Linked DNA regions of Anolis sagrei. The protein of the gene in region 1 interacts with the protein of each later gene in a pairwise test. Links are inferred from orthologs where the notes say so. Each region holds a gene or a part of one and is shown in the gene's direction. Other genes may lie near its edges.

What was found.
Region 2: the proteins of LZTS2 (region 1) and RAD51D interact in binary tests that used the Homo sapiens proteins (3 or more experiments, as listed by UniProt). The two-hybrid records come from large-scale screens. The link is inferred for Anolis sagrei from reciprocal best matches to the Homo sapiens genes LZTS2 and RAD51D.

What each region holds. Positions count from the first base shown.
Region 1 is NC_090023.1:215,468,617-215,475,859, forward strand, and holds the start of LZTS2 (leucine zipper putative tumor suppressor 2), read left to right. Parts: upstream 1-4,131; 5' UTR 4,132-4,567; intron 4,568-5,191; 5' UTR 5,192-5,241; intron 5,242-7,243. UniProt on the Homo sapiens protein: Negative regulator of katanin-mediated microtubule severing and release from the centrosome. Required for central spindle formation and the completion of cytokinesis.
Region 2 is NC_090031.1:28,352,963-28,360,068, forward strand, and holds the start of RAD51D (DNA repair protein RAD51 homolog 4), read left to right. Parts: upstream 1-4,079; 5' UTR 4,080-4,328; coding exon 4,329-4,407; intron 4,408-7,106. UniProt on the Homo sapiens protein: Involved in the homologous recombination repair (HRR) pathway of double-stranded DNA breaks arising during DNA replication or induced by DNA-damaging agents. Bind to single-stranded DNA (ssDNA) and has DNA-dependent ATPase activity.

The sequences.
Region 1 (7,243 bases):
TCTGAGGATCCTTCGTAGTCTGAGGATCCTTAGATCCTTCAAGTGTAATATCCTGGCGGTGGGTCCGTAGGTGACTGTGGAGCCCTATTCTTGATCTGCATCTTCTCCCACACTAAGGGCATCGGTTTCCAGGTGGAAGGCTGTCCCGGTTGGGGTTGGCTTGACGTGCCTTCCTCTTGGCACGTTTCTCTCTTTTGCCCTCCATCCGTGCCTCTTCAAATTCTGCAGCACTGCTGGTCACAGCTGACCTCCAACTGGAGCGCTCAAGGGCCAGGGCTTCCCAGTTTTCAGTGTGCTGGGCTAAAAAACTGGAAGAAGACTGAGAGGGGACTTAAACTCGTTGGTACAGGGGAAAGTTGCTAGAGTTTACTGGGACCCCATCTACACTTCCATATAAAATCCGGATTATATGCTTTGAGCTGGTTTATATGGCAGTGTAGACTCATATAATCCACATCAAATCAGATACTGGATTATATGGCAGTGTAGATCCAGCCTGGTATCGTGAGTGTGTAGGTCTGGCTTAGATCTGAAATCACTGTAATCAGTCAGAGTTTGGGAAACTCAGACTCTCCCAGTCACTAGCTGAGAATTGTAACTCCAATATATGACTTTCCTGGGCTCTGTGTAGGATTCATTCAATTGAATGTTTGGCATGTGGAGAAATGGCTTGAAAGTGTGTATTCAGGGCCTGGGAGTTGGCAGCATGCAAATAGTGAGGTGTTGGTGTCTTTTGATCCAAGTTTTGCTTCCAGGGCAAGCTTTCTCTGATGTTTCCTTCCAGTACATGAAGTGCCTAACTTGTCCTGGCAGTTGCTCCTTTTTCCTTTCAGAATATTCTCTTTCCATTTTACAAGTGCATGGGACCAGCCTGGCTCCATTGAGATCAATATATGGGGAAAAAATCTGTGTAGAAGTATTTATTGACCTCCCTTTTCTCACACATCCCAGAACCACATCTGGTCTTGGCATCCCAGCCTTGATTTAACAAGAAAAGAGAAGGTCAGGGGTGAATGGCGGGAAAGAAAAGGGGGGCATTGGGTCACCCAAGTAAAAATATTTTTCCACCACCAATTATATTTTCCTTTAGTCTCCAAATTTCTAGCTTTGTAATAACTTTAAAATTCCATTGCACATTTAGAAATGCAGTTTAGGCATCCAAAGCAAAGGGAAAACATTACTGAAAGGGGTGTGAACATTGCAAATATAACAGTTCTAGGAATGAAGGTCTCACTTTCTGCAATGCTAGCAATTTGGAGATTAGAGGCGGGGGCGGGGGGGGGGGCGGGGGGGGGGAAACATTTGTGGAACAGAATTGTTATGCGGATGTGAGATGGGTGGGGAGGCCTCATTTTGGCCCTTCCCATAGCTATAGGTAAATGTAAAGGTTTTCCCCTGACAATAAGACCAGTTGCATCTGACTCTGGGGGTTGGTGCTAATTTTCAATTTCTCAGCCGAAGAGCTGGCGTTGTTCATAGACATCTCCAAGGTCATGTGACCAGCATGACTGCATGGAATGCCGTTAACTTCCTGTTGGAGCAGTACTTATTGAGCTACTCACATTTGCATGTTTTCGAACTGCTAGGTTGGCAGAAGCTGGGGCTAACAGTGGGAGCTCATGCTGCTCCCCGGATTTGAACCTGCAACCTTTCAGTCAGCAAGTTCAGCAGCAGTCTAACCCACTGCACCTCCGGGGGTCCTTCTGTAGCTATACTCCAGGAAAAGTTAGTATGGCAAATGCTGTATACATATAGGCAAGTGGACCCTTCCTATTCAGTGTTGGTCTACAGATCAGGATGCAAAGTAGACCTTTGTTTACTGTAGCTAGTTTAAGTCAAAACGCTCCTGCTCAACTGGTTAGGGGAGTATAGTCTTTGCGGTTTGCATGGTTTATTTCTGAGTGTTGTTGCAAGCTGTATCTCTTGGGCATGCCCCAGCTTAGGACTGAATTTGGTTTGAATTTGCATTTCGTTTCTTATTCTGTGGAACCTATTATGGCTTTGAACCTCACTTTTCCCATCAGCAAGGTGGAGCTAGAATGAATGCCATTGCAATCAGGATCATTTTCACAGCACATTCAACCAACACATGTTTATTCATTGTCTCATTAGTTTCAATGGTGCTTCCTTCCTTCCAAGCAAGAGTACTTTGGTTTGCAGATTTAGAGCAGAAAGCAAGGATTTGTAGTTTCAGAGGTATGCTTCTCATACCTCTGAAACTACAAATCCCTGAAAGATTGAAAGTGGCAAGTCACACTCTCTCAGCCCCAGAGGAAAGCAATGGCATCCCCCCTCTAATCAGGCCTTATCAGAAATTATTTGAAGGCACAAAACAACAAATTACTCTTAAAATTACAATTGGAAAAAATACATGGTCCTCATGGGTGAAGATGGGGATTCTAGTCTGAGAGTGCATCAGTGATGTAGAATTGTTGCAGTTTGACACTACTTTAACTCCTTATGGCTCAGTGCTATGGAGTCCTGGGATTTGTAGTTTGGTGAGGAACCCACACTTTTTGGCAGAAAAGGTAAAAGACTTTGTAAAACTACAACTTTCATGTTTCTCTAGGTGGTGTCAAACTGCAATATTCTACAGTGTAGATCAGGCATGGGCAAATTTGGGCCCTCCAGGTGTTTTGGATTTCAACTCCCACAATTCCTAACAGCCTTGGGGCCCTTTCCCCCCTCAGCTGCCGGAGGGCCCAAGTTTGCCTATGCCTTTTCTCACTTGTTCCTTGGAAAAACCTCACTTTTATAATGATGACAAGATTCAAAGAATTGTTGAAGGCTTTCATGGCTGGAATCACTGGGTTGTTATGTTTTCCAGGCTGTATGGCCATGTTCCAGAAATATTCTCTCCTGACGTTTCACCTGCATGTATCTCAGGCATCCTCAGAGGTTGTGAGGTCTGTTGGAAACTAGGAAAATGGGATCTATATATTTGTGGAATGTCCAGGGTGGGAGAAAGAACTGTTGCCTGTTTGAGGTAGTGAATGTGAATGTTTCAATTGGTCACCTTGATTAGCATTTAATGGCCTAGCAGTTTCAAGGTTTGGCTTCCTACTGCTTGGGGGAATCTTTTGTTGGGAGGTGATTAGTTGACCCAGATTTTCTTGTCTGGAATTCCCCTGTGTTTGAGTATTGTTCTTTATTTACTGTTATGATTTTAGAGTTTTTAAATACCAGATTTTGTTCATTTTCATGGTTTCCTCCTTTCTGTTGAAATTGCCCACATGCTTGTGGATTTCCATTGCTTCTCTGTGTAGTCTGACATGGTGGTTGTTAGAGTGGCCCAGAATTCTCTGTTCTCAAATAATATGCTGTGTCCAGGTTGGTTCATCAGGTGCTCTGCTATGGCTGACTTCTCTAGTTGAAGTAGTCTGCAGTGCCTTTCATGTTCCTTGATTCCTGTTTGGGCAATGCTGCGTTTGGTGGTCCCTATGTAGACATTCCACAGATATATAAACATTCCACACACATATAAAAACTCGATTTTCCTAGTGTCCAGCAGACCTCTGAGAATGCCTGCCATAGATGCAGGCAAAATGTCAGGAGAGAATGCTTCTGGAACATGACCATACATACATACAACCCAAGAGTCAAAGAATTTGACAGAGGACAGAAAGTCTTAGGATGAATGTTTTCTTCCCAGACCGGTCTTATCTGCTTCAAAAGCCTGTGAGAAAGTAAGGAGTAAGATGGCCATTTTTAATTGGGTCAACATTTGTTGACAAATACATGCTAGCAGGCTTTTTCGAGGCTGTTCAGGCTGTTCTTCAGAGCTCGGTCTTTCAGCTGTGTGGCAGTCAGTGGAAGATTTCCTGCCGACAGCAGCTGCTCAGGGAGTAGTTCATTGAGTGCTAGGGAATGATCTGGCTCTGCTTTGTGTTTGGAGCACGAAAGGGTCTGTAATGTGATGCTTGGACTTTTAAAGCAGGGGGGACTGAGGTGGGCAAGAGTAGAGAAGACTATGGGGCTCCTGCTTAGTTTGTTTTGTATGCCAGCCAGAGAGTAGGAGGAAGAAAATCCCCAGGGCTTTCCTTTGGCCCACATCCAAGAGGTTTTGCGCACTCTTCTGTGCCAGGTGCAGGAAAGAAGCAAATCTTTACAGATAGCTGCCTTCTAGCCTGGATCCTAAGTTTGGTGGCTCATGTGCCTGGACTTGGAGTGTCTCTCTCTGGGTTATGTCTTGAAGCGGGCGAGGAAACCAATGAGAACGTGATGTGCACCGCACATGTGGGAACACGCACACACAAACCCAGTGGTTAGCAGGGAAGAAATGTGAAGCGACAGCCGCTCCTCCCCGCCTGGCCTGTGATTAGCTGGGGAGGAATGTTTGGCTGTGACGTGGGCCAATTCCTCCAGCCTTTCTCTGGTTTTGGAGGAGAGTTGGTAATGTTAGCAAAGAGGGCAAGCAGCAGGAGTCAACTTTCAATCACAAGTGGTTTGACTCTTGCAAGATGTGGTGGCCAGCCTCCTCTGCCATTTTCCTGCACCGAGAAGCTTCTCCAGGGGTTTCTCTTCTGGTCCAGAAGTCTGGCAGCTGTTGACTGAGGTTGCATTTTTGGTATGTATCTCTTTCTTCTCTTCCCCTCCCTCTCTGCATGCCAAAATGTACTGTATACAGGATGCAAGGCAGAGTTGTTGGTGTTGCCGTTCAATATTCTTTGGCACAATTTGAGATGCAGTGCTGCCTAAAGCCGTCCCTCCCTCTCCTGATCATCCTACAACAAATTTCAGGGGAGAGAAAACAAGCAAACAAACTCTGGCTGTGCTTGTGTTTGAAATTTGGATCTCAGAGCTGGCTTTTTGGGCGGGGAACACCATTTTGAAGCAGCTGAATGTCTAAGTGCAAATAAAATAGGGGGGTAAAGTGAAGCATTGCTAAATTTGAACAGGAAAGTGAACAAGAAAGAACTGTTTTAATGGCTAATGTGGAGGTTGAAGCGTCAAAGTACTGACTGTTATTAACAAAGTATGGCTCTCTGTATTCAGTTCTTAGACCATATTGAGTACATCGTCTTCTTTTTGCTTTTGGATAAGGAATTAGCAGCAGCTCTGGAGTTTATTAGTTTGCTATGGGAACTTCTGTCATTACGTACCTGCAATCCTGATTTATTGTGTAAAGCATATGCCAAACACCCTATTGTATAATTTTAGTTTTTAAACTTTAGTATTTTTGGTATTTCAGGAGAAAGGTGGTATCCGGGGAATTTACTTCACTTTCAAAACTTGAGGCAGGTAAGTTGTGTGAGGAAGAAGTTTATAGGGCTTTTGAGGGAAAGATATGAGTTGTAAACTGAATGGAGGTCTGTTGTTGAAGGCTTTCATGGCTGGAACCATTGGGTTGCTATGAGGTGCCTTGGGGGTGCTGTTCTTTGTTTAACTTTAGATAGCTCTCTGTTCACATGCAATGCAAACTAGTTGACTTTAAGAGTAGGTCTGATAGGTATCAGGCACTTTCTGATTAGATCAAAGCCTAGCAGATTTGTTTGAAATAGAGCATGACTTCACTTGTAGGTGGAGGGCACCCTTTTCCTCCCCCCACATCTTTCCTTTCTCATTATTTTGTTATTTTGATTTTTTTCTTTGCTCTTCTCAAATTTGTATTTGTCACTGGACTGATAGTCTATGGTTATTCTGGAGAATGTAAAACTAATCAAACAAAGTAATCATATACATTTAAATGACAACAGTCCAGGATGGTACTCACCAACACACTTCTTGGCAATGTTGTGTTGAACTGTGTCTCTTGTGGATTGAATAAAGTCTTTTTCCTCACTATGTAAGGTAATTAGCTCAACTGTGCAAGGACATTATGCATTATCATCCAACTTTAATATGTTTTATACCACTGTTTTATATTATCTGCTTGTAATTGTTTATTTATTTATGTATTTACTTTATTTATACCCTGCCCTCTCTCACCCCGAAGGAGACTCAGAGCGGCTTACAGATTGGCAACAATTCAGTGCCATATAAACAAACATATAAGAACAATAAGGCTATATATTTAAACTATAAAAGTTAAGAAAAAAATCTATGCATTAAAATGAATTATTAACACCACACAAATCCAAAGTCATAGTCCAGGATCCATTTCAATCATGTTGAAATTATTTCGTATCCTCTTATTGCACTGAGTTACTATCCGAAGGCTTGGTCCCATAGCCAAGTTTTTGATTTCTTTCTATAGGTCAGGAGGGAGGGAGCTGATCTAATTTTGTTGGGGAGGGAGTTCCATAATTGATGGGCCACCACTGAGAAGGCCCTGTCTCTCATCCCCACCAATCATGTCTGTGAAGTAGGTAGGACCAGAAGGGCCTCCCCAGAAGATCTTAACCTCCATGGTAGTTCATAGAGCAGTGGTTCTCAACCATCCTAATGCCAGGAACCCTTCATACAGTTCCCCATGTTGTGGTGACCCCTAACATTATTTTCGTTTCTACTTCATAACCGTAATTTTGCTACTGTTATGTATCATAATGTAAATATCTGATATGCAGGATATATTTTCATTCATTGGATCAAATTTGGCACAAATACCTTATATGCCCAAATTTGAATACTTGTGGGATTGGTGGGGGTTGAATTTGTCATTTGGGAGTTATAATTGCTAGGATTTATCGTCAACATACAATCTGAATTCCGCCAATGATGGAACTGTACAAAATTTGGCACACACAACTCCCATGACCAAGAGAAAATACTGGAAAGTTTTGGTGGGCATTGACCTTGAGTTTTGGAGTTGTAGTTCACCTACATCTAGAGAACACTGTGGGTCCAAACAATGATGGATCTGGACCAAACTTGGCACAAATCCTCAATATGCCCAAATATGAACAGTGGTGGAGTTTGGAGAAAATAAACCTTGACATTTTGGAGTTGTAGTTGCTGGGATTTATAGTTCACCTACAATCAAAGAGCATTCTGAACTCCACCAACGATAGCATTGGGCCAAACTTCCCACACAGAACCCCCAGGACCAACAGAAAATACTGAATTTTCTGATAGTCTTTCGTGATCCCTTGTGACCCCCCCCCTCCCCCCCCGCAAGAGGTCCTGACCCCCAGGTTGAGAAACACTGTCATAGAGGGAGGTACGTTCCGACCATTTAGGGCTTTATAGTCTAAAGCCAGCCCTTTGAATTGTGCTCGGTAGCAGACTAGTGGCAACTAGTGGAGCTGATGTAACTGGGGGGTGGGGGGGGGAGGGTTGTATGTCCCTGTATGCTGCACCACTG
Region 2 (7,106 bases), on another chromosome or scaffold:
CACGCCAGAGCTCCCTGTCGGCCGTCACCACCCCCAGCTCCCTCAAGGTCAGTCCAGTCACTTCAAGGATGCCATCCATCCATCTTGCCCTTGGTCGGCCCCTCTTCCTTTTGCCTTCCACTTTCCCCAGCATAATTGTCTTCTCTAGGCTTTGCTGTCTCCTCATGATGTGGCCAAAGTACTTCAACTTATTATTATTATTTATAATAATATAATATTATTTTATATTTGGGCTGCAAAAGATGGGACATAATGAGGTTGAACCCAGAACTCCCTGCTTTCAAGCTGACCTGCAGCAGGGAGTTCCTCAGTTCTCTATTGCCTCGCTTAGCCCAACCTACATGAATGTGGCCTCAGCGGCAGCTGCAACCCAGAAGTCTTCTTATTACTTCGCTTTCTTCTCCTGCCTAACATTATAAATAATCCCCCAATAAAATATCAATTAATTGTAACTTTTTCCTCTCAATGGTGTTACTTTGTGTCTTTTACTGCCTCCAAAACTCTTCTCTGCATAAACATTTCCTCTCCCAGGCTGCAGATGGCTGCCGGCCTTCCCGGGATGCAATTTTCGTGTCCTGAGGAGGCCGAAACTGCGCTCCCCTGAACTGCGGATACAGAAACCCATTGGGCCCCCGTATCTGCGAGTCAACGGATCGCTTCAAACTCGGTGCCATTCTTCTCCGGAGAGAATTCTAAGACTAATGGCTATCTCAATTTCGCTCCACTAACTCCTCTGCCCCGGGAATAACCATTTTTGAGTTCAAAACCTCAACCTGGAGCCCAGTTGTTCTTCTGAAGATATTGCCTTGCTGCCACCATTTTGTGGATACCCAGGGAGCCTGGGAAACTGTCGCGGTCACCCCAAGATGTCGGCAGGCCGCCTTGGTCCTTGGTGAGGAGGGATCTGTAGTTCTCTCCATGGATCTTGATCTCCAGCACTGGCAGTCGCCTCATAAGAACTCTATGGACTCTGGGACACCTTTTCCAACTTGTTTCCCGTGGATTTTACAACTTTTATCAACTTTTGCCAACTTTTGAAAACTTTCTGGAACTCTTTCTCCAAGCCCCATGGATTCAATTTCATGACTTAGGGACTATATGATTTCACGATATTGGACTCTCTATGAACTTTGGTGGGTGGGATGAGTTTATATGAATGTCCTTTTCCCCCTTTTCCCCTGTGCATGCTTTATGAACCCCATATATGCGCCTATGTATAAAAATATGGAAAGCCACCCTTTCGTGACCCCAGCATGACAAACGCTTGGGAAATTCTTTCCTATTTCCTGAGGTGAATTGACTTAAGGACTCCAACAAAGACTTAATATAATAACAATGATAACTATGGGTCTAATAATTATATATAGAGAGAATACTAATGTAATAATATAATAATAGTAATATATAAGATGTATAATTAATAATAAGCATATTAAATATATAAGATAATAATACATTAGTAATAGTAATAATATGTAAGGTATAGATAATGTGATAAGAATAATATAATATATACATAATATAATACCAATAATAAAATAATAATATTAGTAAGAATATATATATATATATATATATAACAATAAGAATGAAATAGTTATATAATATATAAAATATAATGTAATACTATTAATATTAATATAATATAATATAAGTAAAGGTAAAGGTTTTCCCCTGACATTAAGTCCAGTCTGGGGGGTCGGTGCTCATCTCCATTTCTAAGCCAAAGAGCCGGTGTTGTCCGTAGACACCTCCAAGGTCATGTGGCCGGAATGACTTCATGGAGTGCTGATAACCTATATATATAAAAATGCTCTGGGCATAATGAGTTCCTTAAAAACAAAAGAACCAGTGAACGAAATCACACCAAATTTGGCAACAAAATGTCTCACAACACAAGGAGTGACCATCACTCAAAAATTATGATTTTGTCATTTGGGAGTTGTACTTGCTAGGATTTATAGTTCACCTACAATCAAAGAGCATTCTGAACTCCATCAACGATGGGATTGAACCAAACTTGGCACACAAAACTCCCATGACCAACAGAAAATACTGGAAGGGTTTGGTGGGCATTGACCTTGAGTTTGAGAGTTATAGTTCACCTACATCCAGATAGCACTGTGGACTCAAACAATGATGGATCTGGACCAAACGTGGCACAAGCACTCAATACACCCAAATGTGAACACAGAAGGAGTTTGGGGGAAATAGATCTTAACATTTGGGAGTTGTAGTCACGGGGATTCACAGTTCACCTACAATCAAAGAGCATTCTGAAACCCACGAATGAGAATCGGGGCAAACTTCCCACACAGAAGCCCCATGACCAACAGAAAATACTTAAGGCCATCCAAGGCCATTTTCCAGATCAATAGACTGGGCCACAGCAACGCGTGGCAGGGGACAGCTAAATAATATAATATAATATAATATAATATAATATAATATAATATAATATCTAGTATCTATGTATATAATAAAAGTCAAAACTTGTACGCGGAGGACAAAAGTGTGGCGGGAGGAGTATGTGCCAGCGTTTTGATTGGCTGCTGCAGTGGTGCTATTTGCATATGGTCTCTGATTGGCCAGCTTCAATAGGAGCCCCTGGTGGAGAAAAGAGTTCATGGCAGAAACGGGGACATGAGAAGGAAATTTGCATATGGTCTCTGATTGGCCAGCCTCAATTCCAAGATTCCGAGATGACAAACAGAGGAAAGGAAAAGGCCAGAGGGGGCTGAGTCAGACAATTACCAATACAGAGCAGATTTGGCACACAAAGCCCCCATGACCTACTCGACACCCTACTGCAGTTTGGAGGAGGATGAACCATGGATGATGGGACTTGCAGTACCATCACTCACATTCTGAGACCGCTGTTAATCTCATCCAATGACTGATCAGGACCAAACTTGGCACATAGACCTCTCATGACCCACTTTACGTCCTGGTGTGGTTTGGCGGGGGATGGACCATGGATTATGGAACTTGCAGTACCTTTGCTCAATTCTTGAAACCACTGCAACCCTCATGCAATTACTGATAAAGATCAAACTTGGCACACTGAGTCTCCATGGCGCACTCTACATCCTGGGGCAGTTTGGGGGAGGATGCACCATGGACGATGGGACTTGCAATAACTGCACTCCTTTCCTAAGACCATTACAACTGCCAACAATGATGAATCAGGACCACAATTTACACAGAGAGCCCGCATGACCCACTCTACATCCTGGTGCGGTTTGGAAGAATTTGACAATGGATGATGGGACTTGCAGTCACTTCACTCACTTCCTGAGACCACTGAGCCCCTCGCCAATGACTAATCAAGACCAAACTTGGCACACAGAGTCCCCATGACCCACTCTACATCCTGGTGCACTTTCGAGGAGGACAGACCATGGATGATGGGACTTCAAGTACCTCTACTCCCTTCCCAAGAATGCTGCAACCCGCATCTAATGTCCGATCAAGACCAAACTTGGCACACAGAACCTCCATGACCCACTCTACATCCTGATGCTGTTTGGAGGAGGACGGATGATGGGACTTCCAGTACCTTCACTCACTTCCTGAAACCACAGCGACACTTATCCAAATACCAAGAAAGACCTAACTTGGCACAGAGAGCCCCCTTGGCTAACTCAACATTCTGGTGATGTTTGTGGGAGAGTATGGATGATGGGGGAGAACAGACAATGGATGATGGGACTTGCAGTACCTAAACTCACTTTCTGAGACCACTGTGACCCTCATCCAATGAATGATCAAGAACAGAACTTGGTGCACAGAGCCCCCACGATCCACTCTCCATTCTGGTGCAATTTGGAGGAGGATGGACCACAGATGATTGGATTCGAAGTACCTTCACTAACTTCCTGAGACCATTGCGAGCCATCTAAATAACTGATAAAGACCAACCTTGATACACAATTCCTTTCTCAAATAACCCGGGCAGCGCCGGGTCCCCAAGCTAGTAATATAATATAATAACAAAATTTCTCAATGTGGCTCCCTCCCGCACTCCCGTGCCTGGCCAGGAGAGGGCGCCAAAGCCCATCTCTTTCCCTTCTAGGGATGGAAGGAGGCGACAGAGAGCTGCAGCCTGGGAAAGGAAACTACTTTTTCCTTTTCCTGCAAAGGGACTTTGCAACATGGGGGCAAGGAGTTCCCTTCCTGGCCTTGCCAAGCCCTTCTTTCCAACGAGGCCCACGAGTTGCATGCTTTTGCTTTCCTCTCCCACCCCCAGAAATGTCAATATTTGGCATTGATTTCTCCCTTCTTTCCTTCCTTCCTCCCTTGCATGTTTTTGCCTCTTTCATAAGGCCATGATCCTCCGACCCGGGTTGTGCCCGGGACTCACGCCGGAAGCGGTGGCCCTCCTCCGAGGCCAAGGCATCCAAACAGGTCAGTGCTCAAGCAGAGGCTGGGCGGGCATCTGTCGGGAGGGGTCGAATGGTGCCTTCCCTTATGGTTGAAGGGGGTCAGACTAGATGGCCCTTGGGGGTCCCTTCCAACTCTAGGAATCTAATAATAATAATAATGTATACTACTACTACTACTACTTACTACTACTACTACTAATTGTAATTCTATCTTTATGGCAGAAGAGGGTCAGACTAGATGGCCCTTGGGGGTCCCTTCCAACTCTAGGAACCTAATAATAATGTATACTACTACTACTAATAGTAATTCTATCTTTATGGCAGAAGAGGGTCAGACTAGATGGCCCTTGGGGGTCCCTTCCAACTCTAGGAACCTAATAATAATAATGTATACTACTACTACTAATAATAATAATAGTAATTCTATCTTTATGGCAGAAGAGGGTCAGACTAGATAGCCCTTGGGGGTCCCTTCCAACTCTAGGAACCTAATAATAATGTATACTACTACTACTACTACTAATAGTAATAGTAATTCTATCTTTATGGCAGAAGAGGGTCAGACTAGATGGCCCTTGGGGGTCCCTTCCAACTCTAGGAACCTAATAATAATAATGTATACTACTACTACTAATAATAATAATAGTAATTCTATCTTTATGGAAAAAGAGGGTCAGACTAGATAGCCCTTGGGGGTCCCTTCCAACTCTAGGAATCTAATAATAATGTATACTACTACTACTACTACTACTACTAATAGTAATAGTATTTCTATCTTTATGGCAGAAGAGGGTCAGACTAGATGGCCCTTGGGGGTCCCTTCCAACTCTAGGAACCTAATAATAATGTATACTACTACTACTACTAATAATAATAATAGTATTTCTATCTTTATGGCAGAAGAGGGTCAGACTAGATGGCCCTTGGGGGTCCCTTCCAACTCTAGGAACCTAATAATAATGTATACTACTACTACTACTACTAATAGTAATAGTAATTCTATCTTTATGGCAGAAGAGGGTCAGACTAGATGGCCCTTGGGGGTCCCTTCCAACTCTAGGAACCTAATAATAATAATGTATACTACTACTACTAATAATAATAATAGTAATTCTATCTTTATGGCAGAAGAGGGTCAGACTAGATAGCCCTTGGGGGTCCCTTCCAACTCTAGGAATCTAATAATAATGTATACTACTACTACTACTACTAATAGTAATAGTAATTCTATCTTTATGGCAGAAGAGGGTCAGACTAGATGGCTCTTGGGGTCCCTTCCAACTCTAGGAATCTAATAATAATGTATACTACTACTACTACTACTAATAATAATAGTAATTCTATCTTTATGGCAGAAGAGGGTCAGACTAGATGGCCCTTGGGGGTCCCTTCCAACTCTAGGAACCTAATAATAATAATGTATACTACTACTACTAATAATAATAATAATAGTAATTCTATCTTTATGGCAGAAGAGGGTCAGACTAGATAGCCCTCTTCTGCCATAACTCTAGGAATCTAATAATAATGTATACTACTACTACTACTACTACTAATAGTAATTCTATCTTTATGGCAGAAGAGGGTCAGACTAGATGGCCCTTGGGGGTCCCTTCCAACTCTAGGAATCTAATAATAATAATGCATACTACTACTACTACTAATAATAATAATAATAATTCTATCTTTATGGCAGAAGAGGGTCAGACTAGATGGCCCTTGGGGGTCCCTTTCAACTCTAGGAATCTAATAATAATAATGTATACTACTACTACTACTAATAATAATAATAGTAATTCTATCTTTATGGCAGAAGAGGGTCAGACTAGATGGCCCTTGGGGGTCCCTTCCAACTTTAGGAATCTAATAATAATAATGCATACTACTACTACTACTACTAATAATAATAATAATTCTATCTTTATGGCAGAAGAGGGTCAGACTAGATGGCCCTTGGGGGTCCCTTTCAACTCTAGGAATCTAATAATAATAATGTATACTACTACTACTACTACTACTACTAATAGTAATTCTATCTTTATGGCAGAAGAGGGTCAGACTAGATGGCCCTTGGGGGTCCCTTCCAACTCTAGGAATCTAATAATAATAATGCATACTACTACTACTACTACTACTAATAATAATAATAATTCTATCTTTATGGCAGAAGAGGGTCAGACTAGATGGCCCTTGGGGGTTCCTTCCAACTCTAGGAATCTAATAATAATAATGCATACTACTACTACTACTACTACTACTAATAATAATTCTATCTTTATGGCAGAAGAGGGTCAGACTAGATGGCCCTTGGGGGTCCCTTTCAACTCTAGGAATCTAATAATAATAATGTATACTACTACTACTACTACTAATAATAATAATAATAATAGTAATTCTATCTTTATGGCAGAAGAGGGTCAGACTAGATGGCCCTTGGAGGTCCCTTCCAACTCTAGGAATCTAATAATAATGTATACTACTACTACTAATAGTAATTCTATCTTTATGACGGAAGAGGGTCAGACTAGATGGCCCTTGTGGCTCCTTTCCAACTTTAGGAGTATAGTACATAGATAAATAATATCATCTTCCTTTATGGCAAAATGGGGGTCAGACTAAATGGACTTTGGGGACTCTTCCAACTCCAGGAGTATAATAATAATAATAATAATAATAATAATAATAATAATAATAATAAATAGATATTAAATTCCTTTATGG